3 linked regions of the Saccharomyces cerevisiae S288C genome follow. The gene in region 2 interacts genetically with the main gene of each other region. Each region holds a gene or a part of one and is shown on either strand. Other genes may lie near its edges.

Region 1 (4,356 bases), on a different chromosome or scaffold from region 2:
CTTTATTACCATAACTTACGACGAAACTAACTAAAATGTAGGTCTATATATCATTTGTAACGGCACGTTGGGTAATCATGACTGGTACATGTTATATGTTATCTACGCAGGTCCTGTTTCTGGCATTATGTATGGCTTGACTTTAGGAGTTCCAGTAAAACAAGGTTCAAGATTTATTATATCACCATACTTGTAGCCTCCAGGATTATTATGAAACAGAAAAATGGCATGTATTTTTGAAAGAATATGGTTATATGAGTATTTAGTGCTTAGTACATACGTCTTGCGTCTGTTTGCAGATAAAACCCTTCTCCTTTTATCTACATATACTAATTGAATAGTGAACTACATGAATAGAAGAAACCGATAATTAAAAATAAGTAGGAAATGAAACGGCTTGACATAATATAACATAACGTAACATAACATGGACACAAGATTTGTTCAAATGAGGAATATGCAAAAAAGAAATCAAAACAACGTGTTTGTCCATATCGCGATCATTCTTGAACACTTTCCAAAGGATTAAAACTTTGAGATGTATAAGGATTGAACTTCGGCCTAGAGTTGAATATAGAAGAAGCAGAATTTGGAGGTGAAGAAGACATAGAACCAGGATTAGAACTGGATTGCGTGTTCTGATGATACAATGACATTTGTTCAGCGGTCAGCCTATCCATTTTCTCGCATGCTTGTTGTTCTTCGAGAGAAAGTAAAGATCTTGGACAGAAAAATAAGTCATCTTTGAAAGATTTGCAGATGTTGTTCTTGTATATTATGGAGGAGTGGTCTATATCTGGGACAACATAATGCTGAGACGATCTGCTAAAGAGTAAAGGAGGGATAGTACTAGTGTTGGCATTCTTGTTAAGGTTTGAGTTTTCGCTGGTACCGGCCCCTACTAAAAACAAAGGCGGGCTTATTGGTTGTTGCTGTTGCGGCTGCTGTAACGATGACGCAGTGCGATTTTGTTGCTGCTGTTGCTGCTGCTGTTGCTGCTGCTGAAGACGATCATATTTGAAATTCTGGAAACTGAGCGCATCTGGAATAATACCAAAGGGGTTGCTGCTTGCGAAGTTCATAGGTTCTTGGATATTTGGAGGGGTGTTGTAGGGCATCATTTCATGTAATATAAAAAAGTGGTTATATGTGATAGTTTATCTGCTAAAATCGGAAAAAGCGTCATCTTGTCAGTGAAATGAGATAAAAAGCTTCTTTCTTTTCTTTTTCTTATTATTGCAATTAACGGGGGTCCGGGTGAGCGTAAGGGCGAGATAACCATGGCGGTATAGGTGTATATGATCAAGTTTTGAAGTCAAGATGCAGGATTGTTCGTTCCGTATTCACAATCCACCGTTAGTGTTACATCGTAGTTTTTGATGCTACTGTGGGCTGTGTAAAGCAGACGCGGGAGTTTAAAATTAAGTTTTGCGGTTATTTCTCGTTGATCAACGCAAGAGGTCAGAAAGCCCTTTATGCAAGGGATTTTTTCTTGCAATTGCATCTTATCATTTTTGTAGCACTGATTATACATAGCTTGACTCATTTGAAAAATTTTATAAACTGCATTTAGTATGGAACAAAACATAAAAATAAAAAAAGATGCGCACCATAATTTGTTTGCGCATATTAAGAATTATATTAGTTGTAAGATATTTATACTCTACGGAATATTTGAAACTTAGATCAGATTGCCTCGATCAAGTCAATATGTAATCAACACTAAGCCTTTTCTTATTGGTGTTGACCGAAATATCAGACTCTGATAAAGTTTCCGACCTCTTTTTGTTATTATTATCATTGCGATCATCAGTATTCTTGAAATTTTCTCCCCCTTTGCCGCCATTCTTCGAGGAAGACATATTATTGTTTTTATTTCCATTTGGTGGTTGGCTAAATGCCTGCTGATACTGTGGTAAAATAATTGGTTTTGCTTCAGCAACTGTCGTTGACGGAGAAAACGGCGGGGAGAATGAATCAAGATGGTTATTGATATTACTAGTATTGACATTGATATTGCTTGGTCTAATATTGTATTTGTTCATAGTTGTCCGTGCTTGAAAGTCGGCAGAATCTTTATATTTGAAGGAAGTACTTGGCATGGACCTCGGAGGAAAGGACGATATGATTACCTCAGAGGCCGGATGGCTCGTTGAGGAGGGGCTCACATTCAAAGGATACTGCACATCTACTGATGGTAAATAATTGATGGTGTTATTATTACTGGGAAGAGGATACTGGTAGTAACTATCAGTGATTGGATGGGAAGGAAAATAATAGGGAGCCTGTTGATGCTGTTGTTGTTGGTGTTGTTGCTGTCGTTGGGTATTATAAATGGACCTTGGAGAGATGGGTGGGATGCTTCTCGTGCTAGTAATGAACTCCGGCGAAGAATGTATTATTTGGGGCGCTTTTTCGTTTTCTGCCATCATCGGCATGTTCCCGCTATTAATATTAGTTTTCCTGTAAGGATCACTATATGATGTAGATGATGAAGCAGAAGACGAAGAAGATGCAGAAGAAGAGGAGGATAAAGATGAAGAGGAAGGCTTACGCTGGTGCGAGCTGGTAGAATGGTGGTTTTTATGTGCATGGACCGATTCCCGATGCTGTTTCAAATTATCAACTCTACTGAAGAATTTCAAACATGCAGGACACTGGAACGGCTTTTCACCAGTGTGCTTTCTTATATGACGTGCAAGATGTTCCGCTCTAGTGAAGGACATCGTACAACCGTCATATCCGGTGCATTTGAACGTTTTCCTTCGAGCACTTTTGGACCTCTTCGGAGTTGATGCCGCTACACTATTGGTGGCAAAGTTACCATTGCTGCTCGTAAGAACGCCTGCAGTATTACGATTCGTGGTATTTTCCATTTCGTGTTTTTTTCTTATCTTATCACAGTATTATTTATGTGTTAGTAAAAAAAGCTAAGCCAGTAAGTCGCTCCAGATTTTTTCTTTACATACATGGTTAATGAAGCTGTTGCAAAATACTGCAGCCAAGAACTCCTGTCTCTTTCAAAACAAGACGAAACTTTATCTGCCGGGATGAATAAGAATTAATCAAAATTATAGGCAATAAGAGTGGATTGAGATTGTTATATACGGAAGACTGTTGAACGGTTAAGGGGGAAGCCGTGAAGGAGCAAACAAATCTTGAAAAAGAAAACATTTTCTAAAAAAAAATAGAGGGGATAAATAAGGCCCTTAGGGGGACTCAACGGCGGAGAATTCGAAAGCCAAAGGATGCTTCCCACCGCTAAGCCAGGGCGAACGGCAGCGGCGATCGAGGATGCTGGTTCTTTAAGGGCACTCGTCCACCTTCGCGATTTTTCTCTTCCCTGAGTATTTGGCAGAGGCGATCAAGGGGTGGCTCACACAACCAGTCGCAGGAGCGTCGCGCATCGGGTATTAGACCCTATTCTGTACACCACAGCCTTCCAGCCCCTTGCCCCACGCGATTGGTGTAAACAATAGATGGCAGTAATCGTTGAGACAACATAACTACCGGCCGTCCCTGACCCTTTCCCCTCCTCACGGTAGAGACAACAACCACGGGAGGAATAAAAACCGGTGCTGGGCCAGCCGATATCGTAAAAGCCTAATTACCCCAGAGCTGCTACGCGGACTTCTATTCTTCCACGCGTCAATATGCCCCCGCGCGAATTTGTGTGGGCCGACCAAATAGAAGAATTGAACGGTGTGTACGCTCAGGGCCATATGATTATAGACGTACACAATGATTAGGCCAGATCGAAATCAGAGGCTAAAGTAAGGAAACGATAGAAAAATAACAAAGTAATTACTATTATGTCTGATAAATAGAAGCGACACGTTACATATTAAAAGAGGGACTACGTAGTGCTCTCTCTATTTCTTAGTAGAAACGGCGACCGCGACAGCTTGGAGGTCATCGTGAGAAATAGATACCTTCACATCGGTAACACCAGCTTCTTCGGCAGCCTTTTTGGCGTTACCGTGCAGTTCAACGGCTGGAGCGTTTTTGTTAACGCGTACGATTTCGATGTCTTTCAATGCAGCACCACCGCCTAAGGACTTGACGCCTAAGGACTTGAAAACAGCCTCTTTGGCGGACCATGTCCCAGCGAAAGAGCTTTGCACACTAGGCTGCGCGCTGCAGTACTCTATTTCTTGCGGGGTGAAATTGCGCTCGATAAAAGTATCATTTTCAACGTTGATGCTAGTGATTAATTCAACATCTACACCGACGCCACCGTTAGAGACTTTCTCCTTGGTCATGTTTTCAATCATCTTGGCAGTTTCAATGGTGTTAGCATTGATGTAACTGTCCTTGCTTTGGATGTTTTTAGAGTTGAAAGTCAAGGAGCCTGAT
Region 2 (6,150 bases):
AAATGACCAGGTAACGTTCTAATGCATTATAGTAGAAGGGGGGGCAAAAGACCGTTAAGTGAAGAATTATGGACGTCCGGATGGTGTGCAGAAGCTTACAAACTAACTTCCTGGTGGAGAATAATGGTAGGCTTGGCGGCTCTGAGATGGAGAAATAGTTTCAAGCCGCGCGCTCAATAACTTCCTCGATCACTGACTTTCGCACCCATCTGGGAACGGTACGGCGAATAGTCTTCATTTAATTGGAGCTGATCGAAAATGCTTGCTGCCGCTTCAGCGTGAATGACGCAGGTGCTGCGTTTGTCCTGTGCCTCCTTTTTTTTTTGGAGTCCGTTTGTCGGCTATTAGCTCTTGGGCTCTAACCCCAGGAAAAGGAAAAAGAGAAACACGCCGGTCTAGTGGAGTAAATTGCGGGGTCAGGATCCCGCGCGGATATCGGCCGTTCAAAGGGTGAAAAGAAGAAATCATTGGAGTCGTTGCGAGTCATTCTTTACGAATCTAATTTCTCCAAATTTTTACAGGTATTCTTAGCCGCCCAAGGTAGCATACAATGACCTTCTATTGCAAAAATGTACAGTGGAATGTAAAAACAGTGGGGACAAACCTGTGGAACACTAAGCGTGGGGGTCCATCCACTTAAACTAAATCGTATTGTTTAAAAGTGTGCAAGCATTGCGATAACGTTCGATTAGACTCTGAATGGAAGACAATGAGTTGATTTTGCTACCAGCAAAAAAAATAATTTATAAACACATTATTCTTGCAATATTTTTCATACTGTGCGTTTATACCTTTTGAAAATTATAGATCCATTTATATATTAATTAACATCCGAAACAAAAGGAAAGTGCGAGGACCGGCCCACCCGATGACTAACGGGAAAGTGGACATGATTTGCCATTTGTACGGGTAATATTTACATATTATTTGATGTGCTTCTTTGGATTGTGTGCAATCACTTACTTCACAGTGTCTATGTAAGAGATGTGAGAGTGTAGCTCGGAAGGTGGAGACATCTCCTAGATCTTGTCTGGCTTCGTTGGGGTAGCCATGAGAAGTTTTCCATTCCCCCGGGTCATGCATGCTGCCCGAGTCAAATAGCGTTTAACTTTGACTCGTACGCCATAATAGGTTATGTTTTATCTTTGGTCAGGGACCCCAGTATTGAGAAAGTAACCTAGGGATGCTACGCCCCAGCTTTACTACGTGGATGATACAGTAAGCACATACATATTGACGGCATCTAATCGTTCTAAACGGAAAAATAGGCGCTGATTTGATCCACTTCGGTTAGGTAACCGCTGATGCCAACGATCTAGGGCCCTTCCATTTTAGGAAAAAGGGTATATACTCTGATGCCCTGTCTGGCCGAACATTCGTATATGTGGATGTATCGTGATCCGTTCGTATTCAATAAAAGTGTAACGATCTCATCTCAAGTCAAAAGTGAGAAGGGAATAACTAAAAAAGAAAAACTGATATTTTGACGTGACGTGGTTTATTAGCAAGTATGTTTCAACCATTCTCAGCGTAAACCCTATCACAATAACGTCTCTATGAAAAGTTTAACATTTTGTCTATCTCGGTTCAATCAGTTGAATAGCGAACCTTATAGCAAATAGCATTTTCAATAAAAATGTGACATACAGACTTCCACTTTTCTTGCTTTTCTCATGCTCTGTGTGATGCTACTGTTACCGCGGCACCACATTTTGGCATACGTCGGGACATTGGCGGCTGAATAGATTATACCCGTCGCCCTTTTTTCATCTCTCCTTTTCTTTTTGTCGTAAGCAAATTACAGAATTGAATATTTGAATAACCCTAAAAAAAATGCCACTCCCCTAAAAACAAACCAGATTAAGTTGCAAGAAATAGACTGATTGGAACATACGGGTCCTATTCAGTGCTCAATAAAAATTAAAATAATGTGATCAAACAACCCGAGACTATTCTTGAATTAGCATTAGCCACTATAAATTTTAACATTTTTCAGAGTCTTTCGTGCGGAGACCGTAAATATTAGCATTGACCTTGTCAATGAAGTAATTGTCTTTGATTTTAACCGTGTTAAAGATTTCGCAAAAGAGAAAGCTTGCTGGCTTGGAGCAGTAACTTTTTTTGATTTTTTTTTACAAGCACACATGCTTTTGCCTTTAGAATATTACGGCTCCTCATGTGGATAGTAAAAACTTGACCGTTGCATCTGTTCTCCTTCGAACAAAGAATAAATCGTCTGAAAAATCACATAGAAAAATAATAGAAAAATAAAAAACATAGTAACATATTTTAAAAGAGACCTTTTATTGAAGAAAATTTGGCGATAAAAATGATTATAACATTGAAATGACGAAGAAAAGGACAGTGCCCGAATTCTCGATTCCAATAAAAGGCGAAAAATTACAATCGCCAGCATGTTTGGTACGGGGCGACTCGTGGCATTTTAAAGTACGCTGGCATGTTTAAAGGTATTAGTGTTCTTGGCGTGGAAAGTGCAGGTGTCTCACTTTTTAGAACGAACAAATTCAAACAATATACAACAATCCGCCGAAAACATTCCAGAAATTAAGATTGTTAAGCACTTTTGCTAAGAAAAAAAAAGGGCTCTCCCCTGTGAATTAACTCAAAGGTAGCGTGTTCTGCCTATGCAAGGTGACCGTTTTTGCAGATATTGTAGTGAGATGCTCTACAAAAGGGGTTTCCTAATCTAATCTTTTACCATATCAAAAATGCCCTAATATTATTATTAAAGAGCTATCAAAGCCTGATTCCTTAGGTATATGACTAGTTCCCGAATTAATGGCATTGATTCATTACTTATTTTATTAGGGGGATGATAAAAATAATGATATCTTTTTCTGCAGCGTCATTTAAGTACTGATTGAGACTGACAGTTGTGATAGAGATATTAAGTAGTAGAAACGGTCCATGAATTGTTCTTTGTTAATATTCTTGCTGAGGGAGGCTTTTCTTTTGGGCTGCTATGCTTTCATTCTACTTAAGCAACGAGATAGGAAGCTTCAAAAGGTGAATGGTGAAATGCTGAAGAAGATTTCGTCATTCCAATCCTCGAGAGTGCGACGTAAGTAGTGACTCTAATGAATTTTCTATGCCTCATAAAGCTTGAGGTATATTTATCCATACGCAAATAATACACGATCTAGGATTATTGTAGTATGTTATTGTTTGACAATATCCTTGGACAAGTTCTAATCACTTATATTTCCCAAACATGATTCGTGTATTTTGGCGTTAGAAAACGACGGCAAGTAAGCTCCCAACATTTACTTGACGAGTTTTTTGTCACTATCATCACGCCCTAGAGCCAAGTTATATTTTTATCGTAAATTCTGTAAATTAACAGTCATTCTAAGCAGGTTGTTTTAATATTTACAGGTAACTTGGCTGACTTCTTTTAAATGTGGCTTCTATGACAAAAAAACTGAAAAAAATGACTAATTAGTAAATTCAGCCTCTTATCATAAAATCAGGGTCTATAGGACGGTACGTGAGAAAAAGATAAGCTTTGGAATATAAAGAGTTACATTTTCATTCTGCAAAAATTCAAATAAAGGAGTATTGAAAAAAAACTTAAAAAGTACAAATAATTAATATAGTTCGAGATATTTAGTTTTCATTGAGTTGGAAAAATGATTGTTCCCACTTATGGAGACGTTTTGGATGCCAGCAACAGAATTAAAGAATATGTAAATAAAACACCGGTTCTCACTTCACGAATGCTTAATGATCGACTTGGAGCACAAATATACTTTAAAGGTGAGAATTTCCAACGAGTGGGAGCGTTCAAGTTTCGTGGAGCAATGAATGCTGTTTCAAAATTAAGTGATGAAAAAAGAAGTAAGGGAGTAATTGCCTTCTCATCAGGAAACCATGCACAGGCTATTGCTCTTAGTGCAAAACTATTAAATGTACCTGCAACAATTGTTATGCCCGAGGATGCGCCCGCCCTTAAAGTTGCTGCTACAGCCGGTTACGGAGCACATATCATAAGGTATAACAGGTATACTGAAGATCGCGAGCAGATTGGGCGTCAACTAGCAGCCGAACATGGTTTTGCATTGATTCCGCCCTACGATCATCCTGATGTTATTGCAGGGCAAGGTACGTCGGCAAAAGAGCTATTAGAAGAGGTTGGACAACTTGATGCATTATTTGTTCCTTTGGGCGGTGGTGGGCTCCTTTCAGGATCTGCACTTGCCGCTAGAAGCCTTTCTCCAGGCTGCAAAATTTTTGGGGTTGAACCTGAAGCTGGTAACGATGGACAACAATCCTTCAGATCGGGTTCCATTGTTCATATCAATACGCCAAAAACTATCGCAGATGGCGCTCAAACACAACACCTCGGTGAGTACACATTTGCCATTATTCGCGAAAATGTCGATGATATTTTAACGGTTAGCGACCAAGAGCTAGTAAAATGCATGCACTTTCTTGCGGAACGCATGAAGGTGGTTGTTGAGCCCACAGCTTGTTTGGGATTTGCAGGTGCACTTCTAAAAAAGGAAGAGCTAGTTGGGAAGAAAGTAGGCATAATACTAAGTGGAGGTAATGTAGACATGAAGAGATATGCTACTTTAATCTCTGGGAAGGAAGATGGCCCAACGATTTAGTGTATACTTTTGAATTTTGAGTTCAGTTTTATAGTGAAGAATTGGAAAGCTTTAGTTGTCTACTTTCACACGGCATATATCATTTGACTTAACATTAATAACATGGTTGAGATTTTGAAGTGAGTTCAGCAAAAAAAGCCTCTAGCTGATTTATACTCTGATAACTCTACATATTTTTCTACTAGTATTATATTTCACTGAACTGACACCCTTATGTGGGAAAATTTTTTGGCAGAATGATAGTGTGTGAGAGGGAAGAATACTGCTTATGTCAAACTAATAATATAACTTCTGACTGTGACTATGAGCATTACTGGTATATTAGTTTCTTTTGCATATTTTGAACTAAAACAGAAGAGCGTTCCTAGGCTTACACCCAGTAAAGACATAGCTTCTAAGTTGAAAAAACATATCTCTACTTCAATTAAAGGTAACTGTCATAATGTCCTATTTTATACGCAGAAAAAATTCTCTTTTCCACACACAATATCGTCTGCTCTTATTACTAATCAATCGAGATCTTGCATGAAGATATTTATGGTCCACAGGAAAGGATAAGCCTCTATTTTAAGGAATTATTACCTAACCAAGACCAAAACTGTAGAAATCCTCCTAAATTTAGTTCTTCACTTTTTTTTGATAATCATAATATGTGTCAAGATATTCGCAGCAGCCACATATATGAATACCAAGTTATTCAACAATTGAGTTTTAAAGAGCAACCCTGAAGGATAAATTAGTGTTTTACATTATATCCGTAGGAAAAAAATATGGCGATATACGTGACAGATCCCACAAACAATAAAGCATCAAGCAAGGTCACCAGGTCAGTTCTACCGCAGAAATTAACGATGTATTACTTAGTGCTCTTTTGTAGCAATAAATTCGCGTGAAATACTCAACACATGTATTGATATAACTTTCAACATGTTCCCTTGATTAACAGTAGACGGGAAAAGAGTTACATGGTTATGTTCAAAATGGATAGTTATGACCAGTACCAACTAACACTCAATATTCTTTTATGATTTGGAAGATCAAACTGTTGCACAATCAATTGGATTATAGTTTCTCTATTTCATTAATTATTATAACAACAAATTAAGTGAATTAAATATTGAAATATTATAATATAATCAGTTAATGGGTTTGACAATAACCATTTTTAATAATATTAGGAAAAGTAAGTATTAGGTTATTATTTATTTAATAATTTGAAAATTAAATAAATTAATATAATCTTATCATTTTTATTTATATATTATTTTATTATCATATTATTATTATTTATTATTTCTATATTATAATTTTTTTAAATTTTTATATCGTATAAATATTGATAAAATATAATTATTAATAATAAATTACAACATTTAAATAATATAAATAATTGAACTATTTTATAATAAAATATAAAAAGAATAAAAATTTCTTCTTTTTATATTTTATAAATATTACTATTTATTGCAATTTATTCTTATATTCATATTTTTTTGTTATTATTATTTATTTCTGTTAA
Region 3 (3,501 bases), on a different chromosome or scaffold from region 2:
AAAATCGATAGCCTTGTAAACATGACTGGAAACTCAATACACTCACTGTAGTGTTTTCATCAAACTCTAGAACTTCATTATTTTGCACGATATATTTCGCTAATAGCAAAGTTAAGGGAACGCTGTGATAAACGCCCACAAAAAAAATTGAATCTACCTCTTTGAAAAGATGAGCCCAGTGGTTCAGTAACTCTACACATTCTTTATATGTAGGTATTAAATCTTGATTATGCAGTGGGCACTGGAACGATAGGGTCAAGACTCTTTGAGGTTGTTCTTGCGCTAGATTTTGTGACAATTTTCTAGAAAGATAATAAGCCGATCTTTGTGATTCTAATGAGCGCTGCTCATACTTTTCTGGTAAATCCCCCACGACGGATATTATAATAATTCTCTTATCCTTCAGTAATGCGGTTTTTTTTTGTCTTAAATAGAGATGTTGCTCATTAGGGAAGTTATAGTAATTTTTGATAGTATTCAATACCTTAGTTCTTAGTGGTTGGACGTGCAGAAAATTCAAAGGGTTATCTGATGGTAGGATTAAAGAATCATTAATAAATACATTATACCCAGGGTTACCTCCCTCCCCAGGATATTTGTTTAATGGCAATGGGCATTTGGCTGATCCTGTACCAGAGACACTGATTATTCCTGGGGTATCTATGGAATCAATTATGTTTGATGAATTTGATATATGTGGAATTGCTTCGTACCAACACCATGATTTCGACTTTTTTGAAATTATATCCTTAGCCTCATTTTCCAAGAAGTTGATTTGTTCAGTGTTTAGTTGAGAGTAGCGGGTATTATCATCAACAACAATTGGGGCACTTCTATATCTGGATGTTGCAAAAGAAGCGATTTTAGACCATATCCCTTTATTGTCATTATTCGAGTTCACGCTATCTTGAAAATCCGTTGTCGGACTACTCCTTCCTTGTCCATTAGGATATTCTGCAATTCTTCCCGTGTTTGGCTCATCGTCGGCAGTGGAATTCCACCAGGGTTTCCATCTGTTTTGTTGTCGTGGACGTTGGGGTGGGACTTCCTGCTGGTCCTCTCGTATCTGCTGCTGCTCTTGTGTTTGATGCTGCAACTGTTTATCCTGTTTCTGCTGCACAACATCCATTATAATAGCGTTTTATATGTTGTGCTAAATTGCTACTACACTTGCTCGCTTTTACTTATTCTGTTTGTAGTTGACCTTTATTTAACGTTGATTTTTGTTATTAACCTGCGCGAATCTGTATTAAGGGCGCATATTCCATGGGCAATTTCATTATAACAGAAAGGAAGAAAGCAAAGGAGGAAAGAAGCAATCCACAAACAGATAGCATGGATGATTTGTTAATTCGTAGACTAACAGATCGAAACGACAAGGAGGCCCATTTAAATGAGTTGTTTCAAGATAATAGTGGCGCCATTGGTGGCAACATTGTCAGCCATGACGATGCTTTATTGAATACACTGGCAATTCTACAAAAAGAACTGAAAAGTAAGGAGCAAGAAATACGAAGATTGAAAGAAGTTATTGCGTTGAAAAATAAGAATACGGAAAGGTTGAATGACGAATTGATTAGTGGAACCATTGAAAATAATGTTTTACAACAAAAACTCTCGGATCTGAAAAAAGAACATTCCCAGCTAGTTGCGAGATGGCTAAAAAAGACAGAGAAAGAGACAGAAGCCATGAACAGCGAAATAGATGGAACGAAATGATGCATCAGTTGTCAAATCGTCACAAAATGCATACAAAAGAAAATAAAATCATTGTGGTGCATATACATGGACAGAATATGAAACGCCAAAGTGTTTGCAATAAAGAGGTGAAAATATGTTAAACATGCTATAGAGAGTACACCTGCAAGTTAAGAAAATGCCATTCGTGTTTTTATCTACTATAATGTAATGTGACAGCTGTTTTAAACCTTTCTTAAGGTCGTTTGTGCGAGAACAGGCTTTTTTTTTGGAGAATGTATCTTGAGAGAAACTCAATAGTAATAACTGGATGCATAAAGAAAATTTCATATGAATCACTACAAATCTTTGGCGTTAGAATTCTATTGGGTAAATTGAACTTTGTAGCTTTTTGATGGTAAACTTGGCGGTTTTGCGCGACCCATGATCCTAAGAAACCCGCAGTTTCTATTAGGATTCACGATGGTCTTTATCTCACCTTCTATTATGTGTAAGTTGAAATGCCCCTTGCTGTTCTTATAGCAGAAAGCTTTTTTTTTCATTTATAGGACTAGCATTTTGGCATTGGAAGGGAAAAAATCATGCTTTCATTGAAAAATGAAAAGAAACATATCGTTATTTTGTGGGAACACTGAAGTATAATTTTTTGTTTCGGAAATTTACCATTGCATAGTGGGTATTTTCATCGAAAGTTGGCTAAAGAATGCATGCGGCCTGTTCATTCTGGTTATGAGCATTTCAATTGGTTAGTATATTGGCGTGAGTGGAAAGAATAGTGGATAAAAACTAAGAGACCCGTTCATTCTCCTGATACGATCTTGCGGTAAACCTTATATTTTTGGGGAGGGTACTGTAATATCTCATAACTCCGCGTATTATTGTGGATGTAACTTGTTGCTGATCCTCTCGCTGAGGCCATCATTATACGTGAGTCGAAGGATGGCCGAAATTTTATGATACTACACCGAAATTAAACCGTCGTCTAATTTAAGATGGCTGAAATGCAAAAACCTGGTTCTTTAAGTGGAAAATAGAAGACTAAATGGTTTCATTGCTATTTATGGTGCAAGAAGATGGCTTAAAGATTAAGAAGCATTAATCAGATTTAATGGAAGCTGAAGTGCAAAGGTTGATTATGTAGCGATCTCTAACGACAATTGTTGGAATGAAAATGAACTATCATCTATCAACTAGTAGTTACACTACCAGTATGTTATCATGTACGGTGTTAGATGATGACATAAGGTATGAGAAACTGTCATGGAAGTTAGACGAAGCTGAAATGCAAGGATTGATAATGTAATAACATAATGACACATATAAAACAGAGTGAAGAATAATCGTAGTACTATTATGTAGAAATATCAATTCCATTTTGAGGATTCAACCTAAAATTCATATGTTTTTCAATATTAAATATAAAGGAGCTAAGATTTGGCGTAGGATCTTCGTCTATAAATTTAGTTGCTGATAAATTATTCTCCATTGTTGCTTTTATTGAGTATTAAAGCATTTAATGCTAGAATCCTCCATAACAGACAGCTTCAGTAGCTCAGTAGGAAGAGCGTCAGTCTCATAATCTGAAGGTCGAGAGTTCGAACCTCCCCTGGAGCACATTTTTTTTCAAAACTTTTTATCACTGCTAGTAAAGGTAATGAATGAAGGACGTTACTGTAGTACTATACTCATCATCATTGTCTGCATTTTATAATATTATTATTTACATGGTCCGTATATTTTTTAATTACACGTATAAATACGGTCATATGTGATTGTTCTATTCATTTTACTCTGCATAGTACT

Evidence for each region.
Region 1: mutations in SRY1 (region 2) and YPL229W together harm fitness more than expected from each alone (negative genetic interaction), as found in Saccharomyces cerevisiae (2 studies listed by BioGRID).
Region 3: mutations in SRY1 (region 2) and YMR158C-A together harm fitness more than expected from each alone (negative genetic interaction), as found in Saccharomyces cerevisiae (2 studies listed by BioGRID).

What each region holds. Positions count from the first base shown.
Region 1 is NC_001148.4:113,832-118,187, reverse strand, and holds YPL229W (uncharacterized protein), read right to left. Parts: upstream 1,122-4,356; coding exon 501-1,121; downstream 1-500. Other genes in the region: USV1 (Usv1p), read right to left, coding at 1,701-2,876; trifunctional fatty acid synthase subunit FAS2, read right to left, coding at 3,873-4,356.
Region 2 is NC_001143.9:15,840-21,989, reverse strand, and holds SRY1 (threo-3-hydroxy-L-aspartate ammonia-lyase SRY1), read left to right. Parts: upstream 1-3,650; coding exon 3,651-4,631; downstream 4,632-6,150. UniProt on the Saccharomyces cerevisiae protein: Catalyzes the deamination of L-threo-3-hydroxyaspartate to oxaloacetate and ammonia. Shows a high specificity towards L-threo-3-hydroxyaspartate as other 3-hydroxyaminoacids, i.e.
Region 3 is NC_001145.3:572,694-576,194, reverse strand, and holds YMR158C-A (uncharacterized protein), read left to right. Parts: upstream 1-2,863; coding exon 2,864-3,001; downstream 3,002-3,501. Other genes in the region: CVM1 (Cvm1p), read right to left, coding at 1-1,129; ATG16 (Atg16p), read left to right, coding at 1,267-1,719; mitochondrial 37S ribosomal protein uS8m MRPS8, read right to left, coding at 3,480-3,501.